4 linked regions of the Drosophila melanogaster genome follow. The gene in region 4 interacts genetically with the main gene of each other region. Each region holds a gene or a part of one and is shown on either strand. Other genes may lie near its edges.

Evidence for each region.
Region 1: of CtBP (region 4) and pygo, changing one suppresses a phenotype caused by changing the other (phenotypic suppression), as found in Drosophila melanogaster (one study listed by BioGRID).
Region 2: of CtBP (region 4) and ush, changing one suppresses a phenotype caused by changing the other (phenotypic suppression), as found in Drosophila melanogaster (one study listed by BioGRID).
Region 3: of CtBP (region 4) and ham, changing one suppresses a phenotype caused by changing the other (phenotypic suppression), as found in Drosophila melanogaster (one study listed by BioGRID).

Annotation. Positions count from the first base shown.
Region 1 is NT_033777.3:31,575,307-31,582,578, reverse strand, and holds pygo (pygopus), read left to right. Parts: upstream 1-1,879; 5' UTR 1,880-2,626; intron 2,627-2,693; 5' UTR 2,694-2,948; coding exon 2,949-5,275; intron 5,276-5,566; coding exon 5,567-5,687; 3' UTR 5,688-6,744; downstream 6,745-7,272. Other genes in the region: rod (rough deal), read right to left, coding at 1-35, 91-299, 364-563, 624-971, 1,061-1,398, 1,461-1,556; gammaCOP (coat protein (coatomer) gamma), read right to left, coding at 7,193-7,272. UniProt on the Drosophila melanogaster protein: Involved in signal transduction through the Wnt pathway.
Region 2 is NT_033779.5:474,580-479,268, reverse strand, and holds the start of ush (u-shaped), read right to left. Parts: upstream 3,050-4,689; 5' UTR 2,938-3,049; intron 2,824-2,937; exon of another isoform or gene 2,283-2,823; coding exon of another isoform or gene 1,065-2,282; exon of another isoform or gene 1-1,064. Other genes in the region: cbt (cabut), read left to right, coding at 1,065-2,282; MED15 (mediator complex subunit 15), read right to left, coding at 3,467-4,036, 4,091-4,233, 4,504-4,689. UniProt on the Drosophila melanogaster protein: Transcription regulator that modulates expression mediated by transcription factors of the GATA family such as pnr and srp. Represses transcription of proneural achaete-scute complex (AS-C), which is usually activated by pnr.
Region 3 is NT_033779.5:18,779,563-18,784,116, forward strand, and holds the start of ham (hamlet), read right to left. Parts: upstream 3,039-4,554; 5' UTR 2,743-3,038; coding exon 2,715-2,742; intron 770-2,714; coding exon 243-769; intron 1-242.
Region 4 is NT_033777.3:13,010,044-13,014,668, reverse strand, and holds the start of CtBP (C-terminal binding protein), read right to left. Parts: upstream 3,021-4,625; 5' UTR 2,921-3,020; exon of another isoform or gene 2,497-2,920; intron 1-2,496. Other genes in the region: CG11656 (uncharacterized protein), read right to left, coding at 3,710-4,505, 4,585-4,625; CG8031 (uncharacterized protein), read left to right, coding at 3,489-3,537. UniProt on the Drosophila melanogaster protein: Corepressor targeting diverse transcription regulators. Hairy-interacting protein required for embryonic segmentation and hairy-mediated transcriptional repression.

The sequences.
Region 1 (7,272 bases), about 19 Mb from region 4:
GGCTGGAGGCACAGCTCAAACTGCTTGCCAAATTCCTGTTGCAAATGTTAATGGATAATGAATGACTAAGAGATCAATTATACTCAATACCTCAGCCTCCTCCAGTCGCCCCTTGCAAATCAGCTTCTTAAAACGATCACTGGGGTCGGTCTCGGAAACGAGCATCATCTCCACCACGGAGGGTATGCTGCTCTGGTTGACTTCCTTGGCAGCCAGATAATACAGATTGACCGCACACTTAGGCTGACGCACAAGCCATGCGTGATCAGGAACTTCTACCTCGTTCTTCACATTGAGCGCTGCAATGACACAAGGTTTTTAGCCTTACTGTATGTTTATGTTTTATGTTTGCTGGACTCATACTTGGGTACTCCACTATCTTAATGAAGCGTCCCTCCGCCGTTGATTTCGTCAGCACCAGAAGCTCAATGTTATCTTCGCTGCACTCCATAACCAGCAGATCCTCGATGAGCAGATTTTTTTGTTGGGTAGTTTGACACATGTACACTGTGCGAGTGTATGGACAAATCTCCACCAAGTGGCCGGAATCGGTGAGTGCGATACTGCAAAACCCAGATACACGTTAGAGGGATTCTAGCACCACAATAAGCAAACCCACTCACATATAGTGTTCCAAGTTGAAGATCTGCTTTAGGCTGCCGTACTGAGCGGGCAAATTTATTCGTGTCACGTCATTGGCTGCATTCCTAAAGTTCATAGTGCTTTGATCTCCAGTGATAACTAGACCGGGTTGCGCCTCCAGATCATCCTGATTGTTCTCGGCACTGATGTTGCCGGTCAGCAGCCGCTTGAGCAGCACTGCACAGTCCACGCTGCACGAGGATCTGCCCTTGGAAAGACGTTGAATGGTGACGTCCTCGAGCAGGGCCTTTTCGCAAGCTATAGTTTCGTTTTCATTCAGGCTCATATTGCCTAACGTTTCCAAGCAGGTCTCATCAATGTCGCTTAAGCTACACAGCGTTTGAATCGTTTAATGAAATAATGTCAAGATCCAGTTTTATCACGCATATGCCAGAGCCCATCTCTGTGAATGGCTTACCTATAGATGCTTCCATTCTTACAGGTGAAGTAAAACCGCTGATCCAGTTGATGGATGCTCCGGAAGGTCCCGCCAGTTAGGCTCACGTCCTCCAGATTGACGGCCACGCTGAACAGGAGCAGGCCCTTGATGAACACTCCGTGAACTTCGCCATCGCTGAGGCCGCATACAATCAGGTTGCCGCTTGAAGAAATGGCAATGGCCTCAATGGCTGCCCCGAATGCCAGAAAGCTGCACTTGGCCACCAGTTCGTCCTCCAGGAGCAAAAGGCTCTTGTCGATGCCAATGACCATCTTGCCGCACTGCACGGAGGCCATGACATCTGGATATTTGTTTACCTGACAATGAAAGAAGGCGAGCGTAGAAACCCAACTGCAGATTCTGCACAATAAGGACTCACTTCCTCTTCACTGCTTATTTGGAAGATGCCTCGCGACGAAAATATGTTGGAGATGGTTTCGTCCTCCAGGGAGGACGCCTCGAAGTTGCTCCACATTGCTGTTCAATCCGCTCTAGCCTAATGTGCAAAACCTGCCAATTTTAAACTCTTTATTTAAACACCGCCAATAAACAAGCGTCGCCTGAGAGTTTGCCGATAACATTACCCGCATATCGATAGACGATTGGCGGCATGAAGACACACTACGTATTGACCTTGGGGCTAATACGTTTACGCAATTTATATTTATTACTTAAATGACGTATGTCCAAATCGTAATTTCTCCTTTAAACCTATTACTTTTTAAATGTTAACGTAGTTGCAAACTACTTCGTGCTGGCTTGCTTTGGCCACACTGAGCCGCCGACGGAATTCCGGCATTTCTCTTGACGTGCGCAAACGGTCACACTGGCGGACTTGCAATGAAAATTATTTATATTTCGCTTCTTCGCACGCAAAAATTGGTCAAAATAAACAAAGGTTAATGTGCTGCTGCTATATAACGGTTCAGTGGTCAGTCCGCCGGACCGCCGAATCCGCGTAACGGTAATCCGTGCGTGTGCCGCTCCTATAAACGGCGCTAATTAAAAGTGGATGCTGCAGTGGCCATCAAATCAACAAAAAGCCAACCGAAAACGCAGGCTTCACAAATCGCGTAAACCCTAACACAATTTCCTTGGGAAATAACCGCCGGTTGTTTTGTTTTCCGATTAAAGACAAACGCAAAAAGAACCCGTAAATAAACAACAGTTAAGCGCTGCACTGCAATTAAAACGGAACGGGAAGCGCAGCGGAGGACATAAAATCGCTGGCAAGAAGAAGAGCGCTGCCAGAAAGCGCCCTTTGAAGGGTTTATGAAGGGGAATTAGTGGCAAACCGCAGTGCAGAGTGCTAAAAAAACGAACTCCTGACCTGAAGTGATCAAGGATCAGTAAGAAACTGAGAAGCGGCAGGTGCTTGGCGCTTTGAAACGAGACAACACGACGCTGGGTTTCCAGGGTAGAGTTGCCAACCCGAAAAATAAGCGGGGTTGCCGTTCGTTGCGCCGAAAGTGTTTACCTGCGTTTTGGGAGTCAGTTGCTTTAAAAACGCGATTTTCATAAGGGTCCTGGCCAGGAGATGTCTTGGTGAGTAGTTGAGGAGGACTGACCCACAGGATGCCAGATACTCATTTGGCACCCTTCACACTCCCAGGAACTCAAACTCCAGGCGGTCGCAGGCCGGATAACCGGCAGAAAGCCCAAGCCCACCAAGCATAACCCATTGTAGTTGGTCACCGAAGGATCCAGTGGATTTGTGCCCACCTCCCTAGGGACATCAGAACCAAACCCACTCCTTTACCAGCGTCGAGATCTCCTGCGCGGGATTGGCGACGCCGCTACAACCGAATTTCTTGCCCCACGCCGTTGAAGAAAAGCTGCCACCATTCGGAAGAAGAACACCTCGAATATGACCCACAATCTTGGTATGGCGCCATATCGATTGCCGGGTCCAGCGGGCGGACTCTGTCCGCCCGATTTTAAGCCGCCGCCTCCCACGGACATCATCTCGGCGCCGAGCAATCCGAAGAAGCGGCGAAAAACCTCAAGTGCCGCCAACTCCGCTGCAGCGGTGGCTGCGGCGGCGGCTGCAGCAGCTGCTGCGAATTCCATGCAGCAGCAGCAGGCGCCACCCACACCGCAGGATTTGCTGCCCCCTCCGCCAATGGGAGGCTTCGGAGACACCATTATTGCCTCGAATCCATTCGACGACAGTCCCCAGGTGTCGGCGATGTCCAGCTCAGCGGCCGCGGCGATGGCGGCCATGAATCAGATGGGCGGCGGACCAGGAGGTGGTCACTTTGGCGGCGGTGGACCGGGTGGGCACCCGCACTGGGAAGACCGCATGGGCATGGGCGGTGGACCTCCTCCCCCGCCTCACATGCATCCCCATATGCACCCGCATCATCCAGGCGGACCTATGGGTCACCCACATGGCCCACATCCGCACATGGGTGGTCCACCTCCAATGCGAGGAATGAGCCCCATGCACCCCCATCAAATGGGACCGGGACCAGGCGTCGGACTACCGCCGCATATGAATCACGGAAGGCCAGGGGGACCTGGTGGTCCTGGAGGACCCGTCCCAATGGGTAGTCCCATGGGTGGAATAGCTGGCATGGGCGGCATGAGCCCAATGGGCGGAATGGGAGGCCCCAGCATATCACCCCATCACATGGGCATGGGTGGTCTGTCGCCCATGGGAGGCGGTCCCAACGGACCCAATCCGCGAGCCATGCAGGGTTCACCGATGGGCGGTCCGGGGCAGAACTCGCCAATGAACTCACTGCCTATGGGTTCGCCAATGGGCAATCCAATTGGCAGCCCGTTGGGCCCTCCCTCGGGACCGGGCCCTGGGAATCCCGGCAATACCGGCGGACCACAGCAGCAACAACAACAACCTCCGCAGCCACCGATGAACAACGGGCAGATGGGTCCTCCTCCTCTGCACAGTCCGCTCGGAAACGGACCAACGGGTCATGGCAGTCACATGCCTGGAGGACCAATCCCAGGACCAGGTCCTGGGCCTGGCGGCCTAGTAGGTCCCGGTGGCATCTCCCCCGCGCACGGCAATAACCCGGGTGGTTCTGGGAACAACATGCTCGGCGGGAATCCCGGCGGCGGCAACAGCAACAACAACGGAAGCAATACAAGTAACGCCAGCAACAACAATCAAAATCCTCACCTCTCGCCAGCAGCCGGACGCCTGGGAGTGCCGACGTCGATGCAGTCGAATGGACCTTCGGTATCATCGGTAGCCTCCTCATCGGTTCCCTCGCCCGCCACGCCCACGCTCACGCCCACATCGACGGCCACGTCCATGTCCACGTCAGTGCCTACATCCTCGCCAGCGCCGCCCGCCATGTCACCGCATCACTCGCTAAACAGCGCCGGCCCGAGTCCGGGCATGCCCAACTCGGGACCCAGCCCGCTGCAGTCACCAGCCGGACCCAATGGCCCCAATAACAACAACAGCAATAACAACAACGGACCCATGATGGGCCAGATGATCCCGAACGCAGTTCCTATGCAGCACCAGCAGCACATGGGCGGCGGCCCACCTGGCCACGGGCCCGGACCAATGCCCGGAATGGGCATGAACCAAATGCTGCCACCGCAGCAACCCTCCCATCTTGGTCCCCCGCATCCGAATATGATGAACCACCCGCATCATCCGCACCATCATCCTGGCGGACCACCGCCGCACATGATGGGTGGACCCGGAATGCACGGCGGTCCTGCTGGAATGCCTCCTCATATGGGCGGAGGACCTAATCCGCACATGATGGGCGGTCCGCACGGGAACGCGGGTCCGCACATGGGCCACGGCCACATGGGTGGAGTACCAGGTCCAGGACCCGGACCCGGCGGCATGAACGGACCCCCGCATCCGCACATGTCCCCGCACCACGGACATCCGCATCACCACCACAATCCGATGGGCGGCCCAGGTCCAAATATGTTCGGCGGTGGTGGAGGAGGTCCCATGGGTCCCGGTGGACCGATGGGCAACATGGGGCCCATGGGAGGTGGCCCGATGGGCGGCCCTATGGGCGTAGGTCCCAAGCCGATGACAATGGGCGGCGGGAAGATGTACCCGCCGGGACAGCCAATGGTCTTTAATCCGCAGAACCCGAATGCGCCGCCCATATATCCTTGTGGCATGTGCCACAAGGAGGTGAACGACAACGACGAAGCCGTGTTCTGTGAATCCGGTTGTAACTTTTTCTTTCACAGGTAGGTCGACCAGTTTACAATAGATTAAAAAGGTCAAATAGAAAATATTATATAAATATCTAGGAACAATATTTAGTCCATATCATCATATTTTAAACTGCTTATATCCTGATAATTATCTTTTCGGAACAAAATGTTTAGGAAAGTTTATTGGAATCTCATGAGCAATTAGTCTTATCACTTCTAGTTCAAAGTTAACAGGGGATTACCCTTCAATTAATACATAAAATCAGTCAGGTGTTTTCGTTTATTCATGTTCGTCGTCGACTAACTCCACTATCATTTTTGCAGAACCTGTGTTGGCCTGACAGAGGCGGCCTTCCAAATGCTCAACAAGGAGGTGTTTGCCGAGTGGTGCTGCGACAAGTGCGTGTCTTCCAAGCATATTCCCATGGTCAAGTTCAAGTGTTGAAGCGGATCGGATTTGAAATCAGCAAAACACATCGATCAACCACCAGCGAAAGCGAGAGCAAAGCAAAAGCAACAGCACCAGCTACCCAACCACTCACTGTATAAAATATCCAAGCATTAACTCTATCTTAATTGTAAGACTTAAGCTGCTCAATAGTCAAGACCGCGACCGATCCAGAGACCCACCAGTCCCCATCCCGGCAGCTAAGCCCCGTAGCCAGAATGCGAACCACTAAAGTGCCGGAGCAGTGTTGTGAATTTGAGCTCCGGGCTTCCTGGCCAACTCGCGGCGTGCTCCTGAAACAAATAAGCAAGGCAAACCTTAACGAAAAGTGTAAACGAAATATGTTAATTGTAATATAATTGTAATTTGTGTGTGAGCGTCTGCATGTGAAGCGATCGAAGAGGACAACGTCGCAACAAGAAGACGGAATGAAAGCTGAGAAGCACTCTAGTTTGTATTATAAAAGAAAATGGATAAATCTGAAGAGCAGGCCAGGCGGGATGATGGTGCACATCTCCAATCGAATACCACTCGCCTGGCGAGAAATCCGCATGAAACACAACAGACAACCAACCACTCGTAACTATATAAACATATATCTAATGACATATTCAACACATTTGGAGATGAGTATAGGAGTTGTAACGAAATGAAATTATCATTGTGAAATTGCTGCGAACTGCATGAGTGTGTTATTTGTTATTACGAATCTATATTATTTTTATACTTGTGTGCGTTTACATTTTAAATATTTAATACGGAAGAGCGTTTCGAACGATTGATGGAACTGCATCGTCGATACATTTTACACAAAAATATTCAGCATAGTCGGAATCGGAGAATGTATAATAAGGAATCGATTGCGAACAAAAGCACAAGAAATTATGAATTCATGTGAGAAAGGTTAATTTGTAATTTAAGACGAATGTGGAGGACGCAGCGAACATAAACGATTCAAACGAGAAAAGAAATTTGTAAAAATAGGAAAACAAGAAGTACTCTAGGCTACTGCAACTATAAGTTATTTATAATTAAATAAAATACCATATAAAATAAAGTAAGTTCTAGTTATGAAGCAATTTCTCTTTGGAGGTGCGGTTTCCACGAGCTTGCAATCATTAAAATCATTTCAATGTCCTACTTTAAAAGCACCTGCCAAATAAACGCCTTCAGGTCGGGTTGCATTGCATATACATGTATTTTTAATATTTTGTTTCCATACTTAAGCTAAATGCACAGGCTAAATGGGGATAATAAACATATGCGATGCACACCGAAGGCTGCATCGCCACACAAACTTTTCGGAAATGGCCAGTAGCAATACTCAATGTTGCACATGCCGGATTGTGGACAGGGCTCTAAGATTATTACAGAGACAGTCGCTTAAAGGTACAAATTATATTTTGATTAGGCGTAACTTTCTGTTTCGTAGTTTCGTAGGGAGTTCAGATTACGTTCACAGCACGCAGGAACCAAAGGAGGTTCCTGCATGGCTCGCTGTCTTATCCAATGGCCGCCGTTATCAGCTCCGCCACGTCCTGGTCCGTGCTGCGCACCGTCAGATTGAGCGTGACGCCTTCTG
Region 2 (4,689 bases), on a different chromosome or scaffold from region 4:
CTAAAAACAAAGTGCCTCGTCCCGCTCGCACTCGCACACAGCCATGCGATCACGCAGCCAACACGCTTTCACGTGAACACCGCATGCACAGCGAGTGATGTGTGAGTGCGAGCGAGAGGCCGCAGCTGAACATTGGACTTGGCACCACTAGGAAAAAACAACAGAAAAGCAAAAGAGAGAAGGTGAGTTGCCAATTGGCAACTGTAGGCGAGCGGTGGAGTGTGAGAGGAAAGAGAGGGCCTAGCCAAAAGCTAGGCAAACAGGCCAAGCCCCAACCCATAAAACCATGTCACATTTCTGGCTCGTTTTTTATCTGGCCAAGAAAGAAACAAACAAACACTGTCGCACATTAGAGCGCAACGTGCCGAGCCCATAAAAAGATTTCGACGTCTTCGCACGAGTCATAATACACCCCTCGCATTCGCCTTCCCCATGAAATCACCCACCTGAGGCACGTCATAATAATACTGGTGGTGTGGCTGCATTTTCCTTGCATGCTTTTAGGCGCAATTTTTAAATGGTTCTAGAATATGCGCCGAAAACGCAACAGTTGCTCATGTTTTCATCCTTAAAAATTAAGTAGTGAAATTTGAAAAGTCCATATTAAGAACAGTTTTTAAAATTTTAAGACATTTTTTGTTTCTGTCAGGAGCACATCAATTTAAAGACTTTTATGTGGTCATCAATACAGTATTCACCTTTAACATTTACATACGTCTATAATTTAAAGCACAGCTGGCAGCAACAGTTAATGAGTAATATTCTGTCACCCCAAACGGCCTTTAAAAGAGTTCAAAAACCGCCAAAAACAAAGTTCCCTTGGCCTTTCGAAGGAGCATTGAACCTGGGGTTGGGCGGGGTATTGCAGGGTGTGTGAAGGTTAACGGTGAACGGCCTTGTCAGCCGCCGGCGTAATTAGCGAATTGCGAGGAAAAGTTATTGTGGGTCAATGCTGGTCAGCGAAAAGTGAATGGGACTGTGAATGTGAATGCACTCCTCAGAACATAAACTCGACAATGTTAACGAACTCTGACTAACCCTGAACTTGTTCTTTCCTTTTCCAGGTCGCCAAGGACGAACAACAGGTGAACGAGAATCTGCTAAAGGCAAAGCTCAAGCTGGTGGCCCAAAAGAGTCAGAAAAATGGAGGGATTATTACACCAAATCCATCGGACACGGAAGACGAGGCTCCCGAAATAGCGGTTCCCAACAAGAAACCCCGTTTGGAACAACCTGCTATGAGCATGACACCGCCGCCGGATCAAAAGCTGGACGATGATCAGAAAGCGGAAAGGGTTAGCGTCATCATGCGGGTCAACAGTTCTGGCGCTGTCTCTTCTAGTAGCCAAGACGAGAACTCATCTAGTTCCACCTCCTGCTGTAGTTCCTCTTCCAACACAAACACAAGTACAAGTTCAGTACCACCCACTGTGGAGGACGACTATCCAGAGGCCAATGTGTGGCGCAATCTCAAGTTCAAAATGAACAGAAAGCGTGCTGCAGAAGTGGCACTACCCCCAGTACAAACACCCGAGACACCAGTTGCGAAGCTTGTAACGCCACCTGCTCCAGCGGAATGCATCAAGGAGGAGGAAATAAAACCTATTCTGACACCGATATATGTTAGCCCAGTAGCTTCGTCTGCCAGCCAACTTATCCTGCTCAGCACAGTGGCCGCCCAACAGAGCCCCACACCCGTACCCAAAACGCCAACAATGTCCGAGGAGAAACTAACAACCAGAATTACGGCCGCCCAGGCGGCGGCCACCAGAAGTCGCATCTACGAGTGCAGTTTTCCCGATTGCGGCAAGAATTACTTCAAAAGCAGTCATCTGAAGGCCCACCAGAGGGTTCACACCGGCGAGCGACCCTTTATCTGCAAGTGGGAGAACTGTGACAAACGATTCTCCCGTTCCGATGAGTTGTCCCGACACAAACGGACCCACACCGGTGAAAAGAAATTCCAGTGCAGCGTCTGCCAGAAGAAATTCATGAGAAGCGATCACCTGTCGAAGCACGTCAAACGGCACAACAAGGACAAGGCGAACGGAGTGAATCGACATGTCTCCCTGGCCAACAACAACACATCAGCTTCGGTAGCGGCTTCCCTCTGCGATGCCTCGCTCCATTTGCGAGCGATAGCACCGGCGGGCTCCAGCGCTAGTTCCTCGCCCATCAGTTCCGCCAGCTTGCAAGTCTACAGCGCCCAAGATCTGCTGAGGCTACAGCAGCAGGCCAGCAGTTTCACCTTCGGCGGAACCCTGCTTCAAGTGCAGCGATGAGAAGAGCAATGCGAGCAGCATCAGAACCAATCTCAGCCCCACAGTATCGCCAGCTAAACAGAGATGAATTCCCACCAAATTTCAAAACAAATTAACATCTGAGTCAAATTCGAAATGCCTTCTCGCTCTCATGTAGCTGGTGTAGACTTAAGCTTAGTTAGGAGCTAGATCTTGTCACCGTTTTGTGCATATATCAACTTCAAATTCAATACGTAATACCCAAATCGGATAGATGCCACTTCTTTCCAGGAGCACACAGCACACTTCTTATCTAAGCGATCTTCTTCAGATTAATATTCTGAATATCCCTAGTGTTTGTACATACTATAAAGAGACGCATTCGGCGTCCAACATCTGTGATATTTAAGTTTTCTTAACTCTTTTCTATTGTACCATAGTTGTCAGTGTAATTCTCTTAAGCTAAAACACACACAATTGTATTTATTGCTAAATGTGAAAAAAAGAAAATGAAAACAAATAGAATAATGGATCATCGCACGATTCCAATCTCAACAAATGAAAATATACATATTTTCCAAAGAAAACTAAAGTTATTCTATGAATTGGGAGGGAAGCGTAATTGGGCAGAAGTCTATTGCGGTGACTTAATTTTTTTTTAGAATGACAAGCCCTATTCCAAATTGTTTATGCTTACCTTTTTAAAAATCTCATCCGACTGAAACAATTTGCAAAGTATGTAGCCCCATTTTGGTATTGAACTAAGTCTTGAGTGTGGAATGTTTTTTGCTTGATGAGTGGATGAGTGTGTTGTGTATATAGAAGGATGTTTCAATGCGGTGCAGCTCAATATTCTTTGAAATAATTGGTTTTATTTTATTTTAGCTATAAAAGCCATTTGTCTTATATGTTAAAATGTATTTACCCAAAACAGAGGGGCATTTTGGGAATCTAAAATGAAATTAAAATTTTCAATATCCATTGATTTAAAATTAAACAAGATATAAACTTACTAAACTTTCCACACTTTTTGCCCAGCGTAAATAGAAAAAATGTTTATAGTTGATTAGGCCGGATAGTTAGGTAAAACTTCCAACAAATATAAAAATATATCTAGAACAAAACAGAAATTAGAAAGATTTTAAAATAAATAGTAATTTTTTTGCAGCGTACGCACTTTTAGCTTAAGATTTAATGTTATAGTTGAATTTAACCAAATAGTTGGGCTAAACTCCCAGCAAAGTGGAAAGTTCACAGACTGCTCTGGGTTTCGATTGCGGGGAACACGCCTGTCGCACGGCCATCTCCCAGGTGTCCAACAAATGTGAGAGCGAGTAGTTCTTGGGCAACTTCGAGATGCGGGCAATGAGAGCTTGTTGCACCGTCTGCAGGAAGGGGGTGGCTGAATACTCCTGTTCCGCCAAGGAGCAGTCCGGAGCCTGCCACGGATATTCCTCCGGCACACTCACACTTACGGGCGGAACACTAGGCAACCTTTTGTCATCCAGGCAACAAATCAAGCGAATGGCCTTGTTGTTGATCTGTGACGTGGTGTCCAATTTCACTTTAAACTTGGTATCGAGCCTAGCAATTTCCCCTTGAAGCACATGTGGCACTTCCTGCTCAAAAGACGTGGACTTTTCTTCCACCCGAGGTCGCTTTGCGGGCACTGGAGCTGTTATATCCGTACCAAAGAGCAGCTCCAAAGTGGGTCGGAATGTGCGATACAATGTGTGATTTGCTACAGGACTTTGCAGCGTTGTATTTATAACCTCCAGCAATGGATTTGAGGATTTCTAGGTATAACGAAGAATATAATAAATTGGCCCGTTGGATGTAGATATACTTACACCAAACTGCTGGCCGGAATAGGAGATGAGATCCATCTTCTCAAGCGCTTTTTCACACTTAAGTAGAGTCTCCAGCGGCACGCGCTGTGTAGGATTGCAGAGAATCTCCAACAACTTGCTCATCTTTGTCATCTTCTCCACATCTATTAAAGAAGATATAATATTAGTTTTACGATAACATATACTTCGAGAATATAACTACTAGGAAATATATAAACCCGAGTAAGTTTGCATTAAACTTTTGTTTTTGGTTAGTTAGTCCTTGCATTTGGCCTCGCAAAAACGATTATATAATTCTTAAATTATATTATTTGACGCGGTTTATAGCATTTACAGCATTTCAGTAATCAGCAAACGATTTAAAAATGCAATAGCTGCGAAAAAAACGAAACGTGAGGGTATTATCTACTTACTGGTTCCGTCGTTACTGATCTTGGCAAGCATCCGCTTCAGTGGCTCAATGTACTTGGTCAGCTGCTTGTATTTCTCGCGGTATAATGCCTCCTCCTGGGGATTAAATGGACTGTTACCAGTAACCTGGCCAGGAGTGTTGATCGAGGCACTTGGAGACTGCTGCCGAATATTGCGCTGCGAATTCT
Region 3 (4,554 bases), on a different chromosome or scaffold from region 4:
TAGGTTAGTGAACATCAAGCAACTAAAATATATTTAAATCATCGTTAGAAAGTAGTTTAATAAGTTATGCAAAGCATTACAAAATATCAGATCCAACAATCAACTTTAGACTACAAGTTTTCTATCTATCGTTCGATTCTAAATATTCAATGTATTTTCTACTCCTTCCCCACAGTTATATTTACTTCTCAGAACTTAAAAAATTATTTATCTCTTTTTCAAGGATTGTCAAAACTACTTACCTTCCAGGCCAGCTGAGGATCGTTGGGTTGGTGGCTGAGCTTCATGGGAAAGGGTCCGTAGCGAGTGCCCCTCTGGAGCGGCGTCTTGGCGTAGACGCCACCACTATCACGGATGTCCAGCTCACAGACTGGTTCGCGCCTACGCACCCACTCCTGCAGGATGTGCTCCGCCTGGGCGCGGTCCTTGAAGAAGGCATCCATGCCGTCGACGGAGGCGGCTGCGGCGGAGGAGGATTCCACGGACAGCGGCAACGTGGGAGGCGGTGGCTGTTGTCGCTGGTTCTGCTGGTGGAAATGATTGGGATGGTGAAGTAGCTCCTGATCCTGTATATCAAGATGATCCCGCCTCGGCGGAGATCCTTCCACGGGCTCCTGCTGCGGTAAGTGATGGCGGGCGGCGAATGAATCCTCGATTTGTTCAGACAGTGGATTGAAGCCCTGACTCCTGGCACTCAGATCCAGGTGATGGAGGTGATGATGGTGGCGCGCTACACTTGCACTTGGATCGAAGTCGTCGCCTCCGGAGCCTGTTAACAATCGAAGCGGATAAGAAATAGACAGCGATTAGAAATGACTTTTCCGACCGCTGGCAAGCACTCAAAGCACTAATCCTAATCAGTTGTTGGCTGTCAATTCACTCCCAAAATAAAATAGATAAAGCCAATGACTCTTCACGTCGAGATGACAATCGTTGCCCGGTTTTATATATAAAGGTGTCTTTGGGGATTTTGCAATGCACGGCTGGGACCGTCTATCACTGCCCACTCTATGTGGCTCCTATCTTCCCGGCAAGACAGGTGTCTCTACCCTTTCCACAGACAGGGCGTATCAGTTACCTCGTCTGTTTTCCTGTCTAATCCAAGCAGGCTGAGCAAATAAAAACTGGATAAATATCGACGGGAAATATTTAAACTATTTTGTTGACACAATAATTCCGACTTAAGTTGCTTAGATTTGCTGCTTATCTTCACATTTAATTGATGTGACTGGATTGACTTTTGCCGATTGAATAGATAAAATAAACTTCACTAGACGACTTGATGAGTCAGCTTAGTGACAGTAGAATCAGGGGTAATTTGATTTTTACCCTTAGAACTCCCATAATATTTTGCACTATTTCAGATGGGTGGTGATGACATTGTGAGTGCATTCCCATGGTGTCATTTGAAAAAAATAGCACCCACTTCTTTAAGATACCGATAATCGGTGGGCTCGGAACATAAGTATACACGGACAAATTACCCGGCGATTATTGATATTTGAGCAACTACTAGTTGTTGTTTGCTGTTTGGTTTCTTGTCTTGTCCATCCGCCTTGTTCGAACACTTGAAACTAAATCGTAATTTGAGCTGTTAGACAAAATATGACAGCGCTTCGAAGATAACGAGCATACGAATGGTAACAGTAACTACGGAGTAACAGTAACATTACCCCGAAACAGATAAGTATCGGCCATATAAGTAGACCGCAAACCAATGGCTCGCAAACAATGGCCAAACACAAAGCAAACTACGTTTGGAGTTCTCGACCCGAAACAACCTGCTGCATTTCGCACATCCTGCGGCACACTCTGTTTGCACAGTATCCTGGCACTTCGATCGCGAACCCCGACGGCTTCACACCATTTAGCGAAATCTTTTTGAAGTGGCCTACACTTCAAAGACCGCCCTCGCAACCACTCATCTCGCGTTTATCCTCGGCTCTATTTGACAACCCAATTGTTAATCACTCTGGTTTTCTTTAGTTTTCGCTTTTACCCAAGCGCAAGTGTTTTTTCAACGGGACCTTCGGCTAATTTGTGTTTTAGGTAATCACATTTGGGTTTGGTCTGCTGATAAAACTGGCCATAAACGCTTGATTGCCAGTGTGTGGGGGCTTGATAAGTGGGGATCGATTTTAATGGGTTTACTTAGGGCTTACTTCGGTTTTAGTTTGGTCATTAAAAGTTGCGGCAAGTTTAGTAAGGAAACTAGATTAAAAGATGTTTTTTGTGGCCCGAGATATAGAGCTCTTAAAAAATGTTTTCGCCTAATTTTTTTCACTACTTCAATTATTTTCAATGGTATATGCCAATTTATTAACAGGCAATAAGTATTTTAGCTGGGTTGATATAATTTGTTCAAATTATATTTGAATGGCAAGCCTTCAATTTCCTGTAAGTCTAAAAAAATTCGTAGTTTATTTATAAACGAATGTTTTAATTAGGGCCAAGACAATAGGAGATAAAACCACGACACCACTTATTTTAAGCACTTGATTTGTCACAATTTTTGTCATTGATGTTTTAGGGCTAAAAAACAATCGATCAACTAATGGGTGGATTTGTTCAAACTGATTCACTTGGCTTCTGTTTAAGTTAGGGCCGTTGTAAACTGTTTTCAAAGTAACTGATTCAGTTCAGGGAACTGCGATTCCCTGTAAGCCGCAGTGCGAGATACCAACTTTTGTTTATTAACACGGCGTGGAACCAACCTGATATGACATATCGATCGAACAGCATGATTCCGCTTTCAAACGTTACTTGTAATTATCACAATAAACAGATCGCTGGCAAATATTTTCATAACACGCGATGTGACATTTTCTGCGCGGCCAACACTGCGTATGCTTGATGTTGCTTTATGTAGGTACCGATATTGCTACGATTTTAACGGATATTTATTTATTTGATGGGTGTCGTCTCTATCTGCCGGTTGTCTTCGCAAGACTGCTGCCAGCCAGCCAGCCAGGAAAAGAAGCGGCGATAACGCAAAAAATATAAATGCAAAGAAACAAGCAGAAACAGAATTGTGTGGCAGCGACGTCGACGTCGACGGCGACCGAGAGTGCAAACGGCGGCAGCGAAAAGCGAGTGTGATTTTCCGATTCCGATTGCCAGCACGCTCAGCAACGAACTGAAACTGAATTGTCTGGAGGCGATGAGGATTCTCGGATTCTCGGATTGCCGGACTCGGATTCTCGGTTTGAATGGGAATTTTTCGGGCCGGTTGGCTGGTTGGCTATCCATTCGCCATGGTGGTTGTTTCCGCTCCTCTCTCCCAACCGAAAATCTCATCCCATCTCCCAGAGGATCGCCCTGATGTCCTGGCTATCTTTCGTAAAGCATAACCAAAAGGATAGGGGATGAAACTGGAGAGCAACATCGGTGGAGAGAGGGAGAGAGAAAGAGAGAGAGAGTGCAGCATCTGTATCTTTAACAGTGCGTTTATATATGTATCTCCAGCCTGCGCTCACACACTCTCTCTCTCTCGGATTCTGTTCCTCCTTCTCTTTCGCGGCGAGAACAGCTCTCTTTCTCGCCCCTTGAAATCTGTGTCAGTTTGCAGTCATTATTATTATCTGAAACTTGGTGATTCTGATTCGAATCCTTAGTGCCAGTGGCCACAGAAAGGATAACAGAGGGAGATGGCCATCAACGAGACAGGGACAGAGAATGAGCAAGAGAGAGAGAGTGCGATGGCCTTATTTACCCCTCGATTTTTCCTATCAGAATACGGCTATGTATCTTTGAGATACACAGACAGCCAGCTCGAGTTGAGGGAGGAGTCAGGATAATAGGGCGGGCACATCTTCGCATTCATTATGCACTCGACTACATGTAGACTGCGCTTTATATATCTCTGCATATCTATATACCGAAATGGAGGCAGAGCAGACTCCGATGCAGCTGTAGATACAGATACAGAACCAGATACAGATACAGAGATGGTGTTGCTCTCTTTTTCTGGCTGCCGCTAGTGTCTCTGTCTCTGTTGCGCTCTTCTGTTTGTTTGTTTGCGGTTGGCCCAGACCAGACACCACCCACGGCCCCCTCTTCTGATTTGCCACCCCCCACCCCCTTCTCCCCCACGAGAAGACAAAGTGGCAAGTTGCGGTTGCCTTATCCTTAGCATCCATTTCGTTTTGGTTTTCGAGGGGGACTCGGCTTTTGGTTTGGGGATTGTGGCTTCGTTAGCTCAGTGGGCTTTTTCACAACCACCACCCGCCTTGAATTTCCCACCTCTCTTGAATTTTCCCCCAAAATTCAACCTGCGTCTGTTCCAAAGCGTGCGCAATAAGCACACACATTAGGCTAATGGCTGTGTGTGGGTGTAGACTGCCCTGCCGCTTAAGTGCGTGTGTGTGTGTTTATGGCTTCCTGCCAACTGTATAGGTGTGTATGGAAGTGTGTGTGTGTGTGTGTGTTGGCCGGACAGAGAAAACTCACGGCTATAATTGAAAGCGACGACGACTTTTAGCCTGCGGCAGAAAAGGCAAAGTGTGCCGGGCTGATTTCCTCGACTTTCTCCACTTTTTCCCCTCACTCTTCCTT
Region 4 (4,625 bases):
ACCAGAAGTGGGAAAAAATCAAATGAAATACAATTTATATATATATATATATGTATATATTATTGCCTCGCACGCTTACGAATTGCTGATTCTGCGTTTTGCGGCTGCTTGGCTATTTCTATTTATTATTGTTGCCATATCGCTGCATCTGTTGTTTTGGACGAATTTGGCTGAGCCATCTGAAAGTGTGTGTTTTCTGTTTTCATTTGAAAAGTGCTTGCGCAGGAGTATAGCAGATATGGCGAAAGGTTTGCCATCAAACATGCAACGATTAGCTGGCCAAAATACATCTTTCCACCGCTGAATAGATGAAAGACATCCGAATTTGTAAACTATCATTCATTTTCAACAAATTTATAACTTGGACAATTTAGCTTTAAGGGTATTAGAGCCTGTACCATCAACCGAATTGCGTTGTATTTGCCTTTCAGATCGATAGAGATAGAGCGCAGAAAAAAAATACAAGAATATGAGGCACACATGGCTGCCATTGTGTTTCTGGTCGAATTTTAGTTCCTCGGACTTTTGTGTTTAAATTTAAACGTTTGCCTGCTATTTTGGTGGCTGCTTTCGCTTTGTTTTGCGCCCCGTGCACCACCAAGTGTGAAATTCTTTGGGCAGGTGTGCATTTTTTCACGCGCGCAGTCGGCGGCAAACACACAACAACAAACATTGCGCAAAAACACAGAGCATCAAACGGATTGGGGGGGGGGGTCGTACGAGGCGTGGCAGTGGGCGGCATCGCCTGGCATTGACAATAAATAACCGTTAGCTAGTGGGAGTGGGCAGCCCATACACAATCAAATTTATTATTTGCCAAAAAAGGGCAGTGACAAGAAGCGGAAAACGTTGTTGCGCCAAAAAAACTAGTAACAACAAATTCAGCAACATGTACAGTTATCGATGGACTATATATATAGAAAATTCCATGGCAATGCAAATATTGAAGTGGAAACGGGAAAAGCGGCTCTCTCTGCCACATATTTCCATATTTCTATTTATTCTATAGCGAAAACTACATTGGGTAGGAAGAATTCTTAACGACTGCAATACAAATTCAGTGGCTAATAACTATAAATTTAAGTGTTTTTATAAAGCAAATTCCTCAGCATTTCATTTTTGCCCAATGACGAACAATTAGCCAAAAATTTCATAACCGCAATTAACTTTAACTTTAAGGCAATCAATAATTTCAATTGTGCCTGCTGCTTTTAAGGGTTTGTAATCAGTCTAGATACCCCAAAAGTGCGCAAAAAGTTGCGGGGAATACAACAAATGACTAAACAACTAACAGTCGCTATAATTTGAACTCTTTATGTGGCAGAAGTTTGTCTGTATTTCCGTTTTTGGGCAAAAACAAAAACACCATTTGTAATCCTCTTCGGAGTTTTGAGCACTGCGAGCAATACCAACAACATTCCCGTTGCAAGTGCGGCAGTATGTGGCTGGGAGGGGAGAGGTTTAGGGAGGGGGGAGCCCAGAGTTGCTTGTCTGTCTGCCTCTTCATGTGTGCGTGTGTGTGTGTGTATGACGTATACGTTTGTATGTGTGTGATGGGTACAGGCACGTCGAACAGTGAAAGGGCGAACGAACAAGAGAGAAGAGAGAGAGCGATAGAGATAGAAGAAGCTATGACAAAAACACGACAAGCGCAAAAATTGTAAGAAAACTAGAAACAAGCATCAATTTGAATGGACATTCGTAAGTTGATCAAACTTTTTCACTTGGTTGTGTATTCAAATCGGCATAAACACACACAAACAAACAATCGCAACGGTTGTTGAGTAAGTGTGTGCGCTTGTAATTTGCAATCAATATGCGGGCGCAGGAAATAAAAGCTATTTATACTTTTAAAGCTTTAGTTCGCGAAGAAGAAACGATAAGCAGCACTTTCACCCTTTAAAGGCTTTTAATCCGAGCGAAAGAACGAAAACTCCCGGTTGAAATGTGTCAACATGAGGCTTTAGTTGGTTTTCAAACTCGTTGCTTTTGGCCTCTCCCTCCCACCCTTTCTCTTGCACTCGCGCTAGCTCGCTCTTTCTCTCTCTGTCGCACCAAATGTGGCGGCGGCAAAACAACAACGATGAGACAGCATGTTGCAGTGGCGTGGGCAAAAGGGGGGTGCTTGAGAAAAGGGGGACGTTGCGCAGTGAACCTTGCGTGTGTATTGTCACTAGGCGGGCGGAAAAAAATATAAATTACAAAGAGAGTGTATGTATCTGTGGCTGTGTGCGTGTGCGGGGAAATTATTGCACAATTTTATTTATGTTTTGCATAGAATATGGCAGGCATTGCTCTCTCTCTCTCTCTCTCACTCACTCACACACGCACTCACTCGACTTTTGCATTAAACCGCAACAATACTTGGTCATGTGTGTGTGCGTACCCACACACGCACACCCGCATCACCTATACAGGCAATAGCAGTTCCGCTTTAAAATTCATCAGAATTCTGCACGTTTAAATTTTTCTTGTACACGTTTATCGCACACTCACACACACGCACGCACACAGGCACAGGCGCACACTCGTTGCAAACGGAAAGGCAAATGGGAAATATATGGTGTAGTAATCCGTGGAAAAATCGCCGCTGCCGCGGATTTTCGATTGTGGTATTATTAAATAGCTGAAACGCAATCAGCGGCGCACAATTTGATTTTCAGCTCTCGTTTTCGCCTTTTTTTCTCTCGCTTATTCGCCTATTCCTTTGTGGCGGCGGCGACGGCGGCGTCGGTTTTCTTCTCTCTTTTCTTTTTCTTTTTTTGCGAGTTCACAATTGGGCAAGAAATTCACGTGCCAAAAACGCGGCCACACACAATTTTCGGGGACAAACACTTGGCGGCGGGTCTCATGCACCGTTGCCGACCACTTTTCACAAATTTTATGCACTTTTTGGGCAGTTTTCCCACAATTAATTTACCAGCAACGCGTCCAAATTCCACTCGCAGCTTTCAAAATGGCGGAATACGAACACGGCGGATTTTTAGGTTTTAGTACAGCAATGACGCTATGCGAACAGTGTGACCGCACACGGGTCGTTCGAAAATACCTCGGTGCGCGCAGGCAAACTGCAAGAATTATGGTATAGTTTGAAATGTTGGTATTGCAGAATTCCGACTTTCGACTTCCGTGAGTTTCAGTTGTATATGTTATGCGATTTCATTTATGGAAATTAATAAAAAACAACACTTAAATAAAATTACGTTACCTTATGTATTGTATTTTATTTGTGTGATTTATTATTTAGAATAATAAAAAAGTATTAATGGTATATATGATTATACCAAAAAAAAAACGATATTTAAGTACTTAATGCAGCCCTGAAGAAGTGTGACCGCTGATCAGCGAATCCAGAGAACGTGTTTATTTCAAAAACAAGACGACGGTCACACTGCTGTACCAATAACAAAGAACTCGTTTTTTCTACAAGTAACGGCCAGTTAATAGCTCTTACTAACTAAACAGACCGATTAGGGATCTCGCACAAAATGTCGGCCAGAAGAGCAACCCATGCAGGCAGCTGGTACACGGACTCGGGTGAGTAACAACCCAGCTGCGGCCCAGAAGATAACACAATCAATTATTGCATCGCCTATGGGTGTGGGATAAACGCATATGTATTGCACCTGTGCGTGTTTGCCTGTGTGTGTGTTTGTGTGCGGGTAATGAACCTTAGGGTGAACCAAAAATGTAACTACAGGTCACCAATTCAGAAGTTCTTTTCCGGATCCGAGCCAACCGCATTGCGAATCTCGTCCATGCGATCGTATGCGATTTCGGTGGCCCAGCACAGACGCTTCTCCAGCTCGCTGTTGCGCCGCCGCTGCTGACGCAGTGCATCCAGTCCGCGTTCCAACTGAGTGCATGCCTGGAAGAAGGTGCTCAGCTCGGGTATGTCGCCGAATTCGCCGGGATGCCGACGGAATCCCTGCGTGGCGTCCGTGGATAGCTTGTCCAGGCGATTTTGCAGGAAACGCTGGTCGAACATCATCTGAAGCTCTGCAGTCGTCGCTTTGCCCAACTCGTTGTTGGATTCGTTTAGGTGCAGGTCCCGTATGCGGTCCTTCAAGCCCGTGAAGCTAACCGACTCCAATTTCTCGCCAATGCCCTGGAAGAGTTCGTAGCTCTGCTTGAGCTCCAGCTGCATCTTCCGGACATCTTCGTCGATGCTTTTGGCCGCTTGCGATTCAAGGAAGTCGGCACGGGCACTGGCCTCCACGGGCGGAGCGTCATATCCTGATCTTAGCGAATAGCTCGAGGATGTGGAGACCGGATCCGATGGCTTCTCCTGGGCTCCACCTCCAGTTAAACGATCTTCAGATGATCTGGTACCCGACGACGAACTCTTTGTACTGCCAGCGGACGAGGAGGAGGCCTTACTATTGTTCTTCTTGGAACTCCTCGATTTTGCTTTCCTTGTTTTCCTTATGGGCCCGAAAATGGGCAGCGGATTGGGACTCAGGAGCAGTTCCTGTGACGCCTCCTTGTCGGAATCATCAGCAGCCCTGTTGTAGGATTATAAATGGATTGATTTTTTTCTTCTTTTATATATATATATATATATTGGGTAACTTGATAACTTACTCTTGAGATAATATAGCTGTAAGCTCGTTCCGAATGCGATT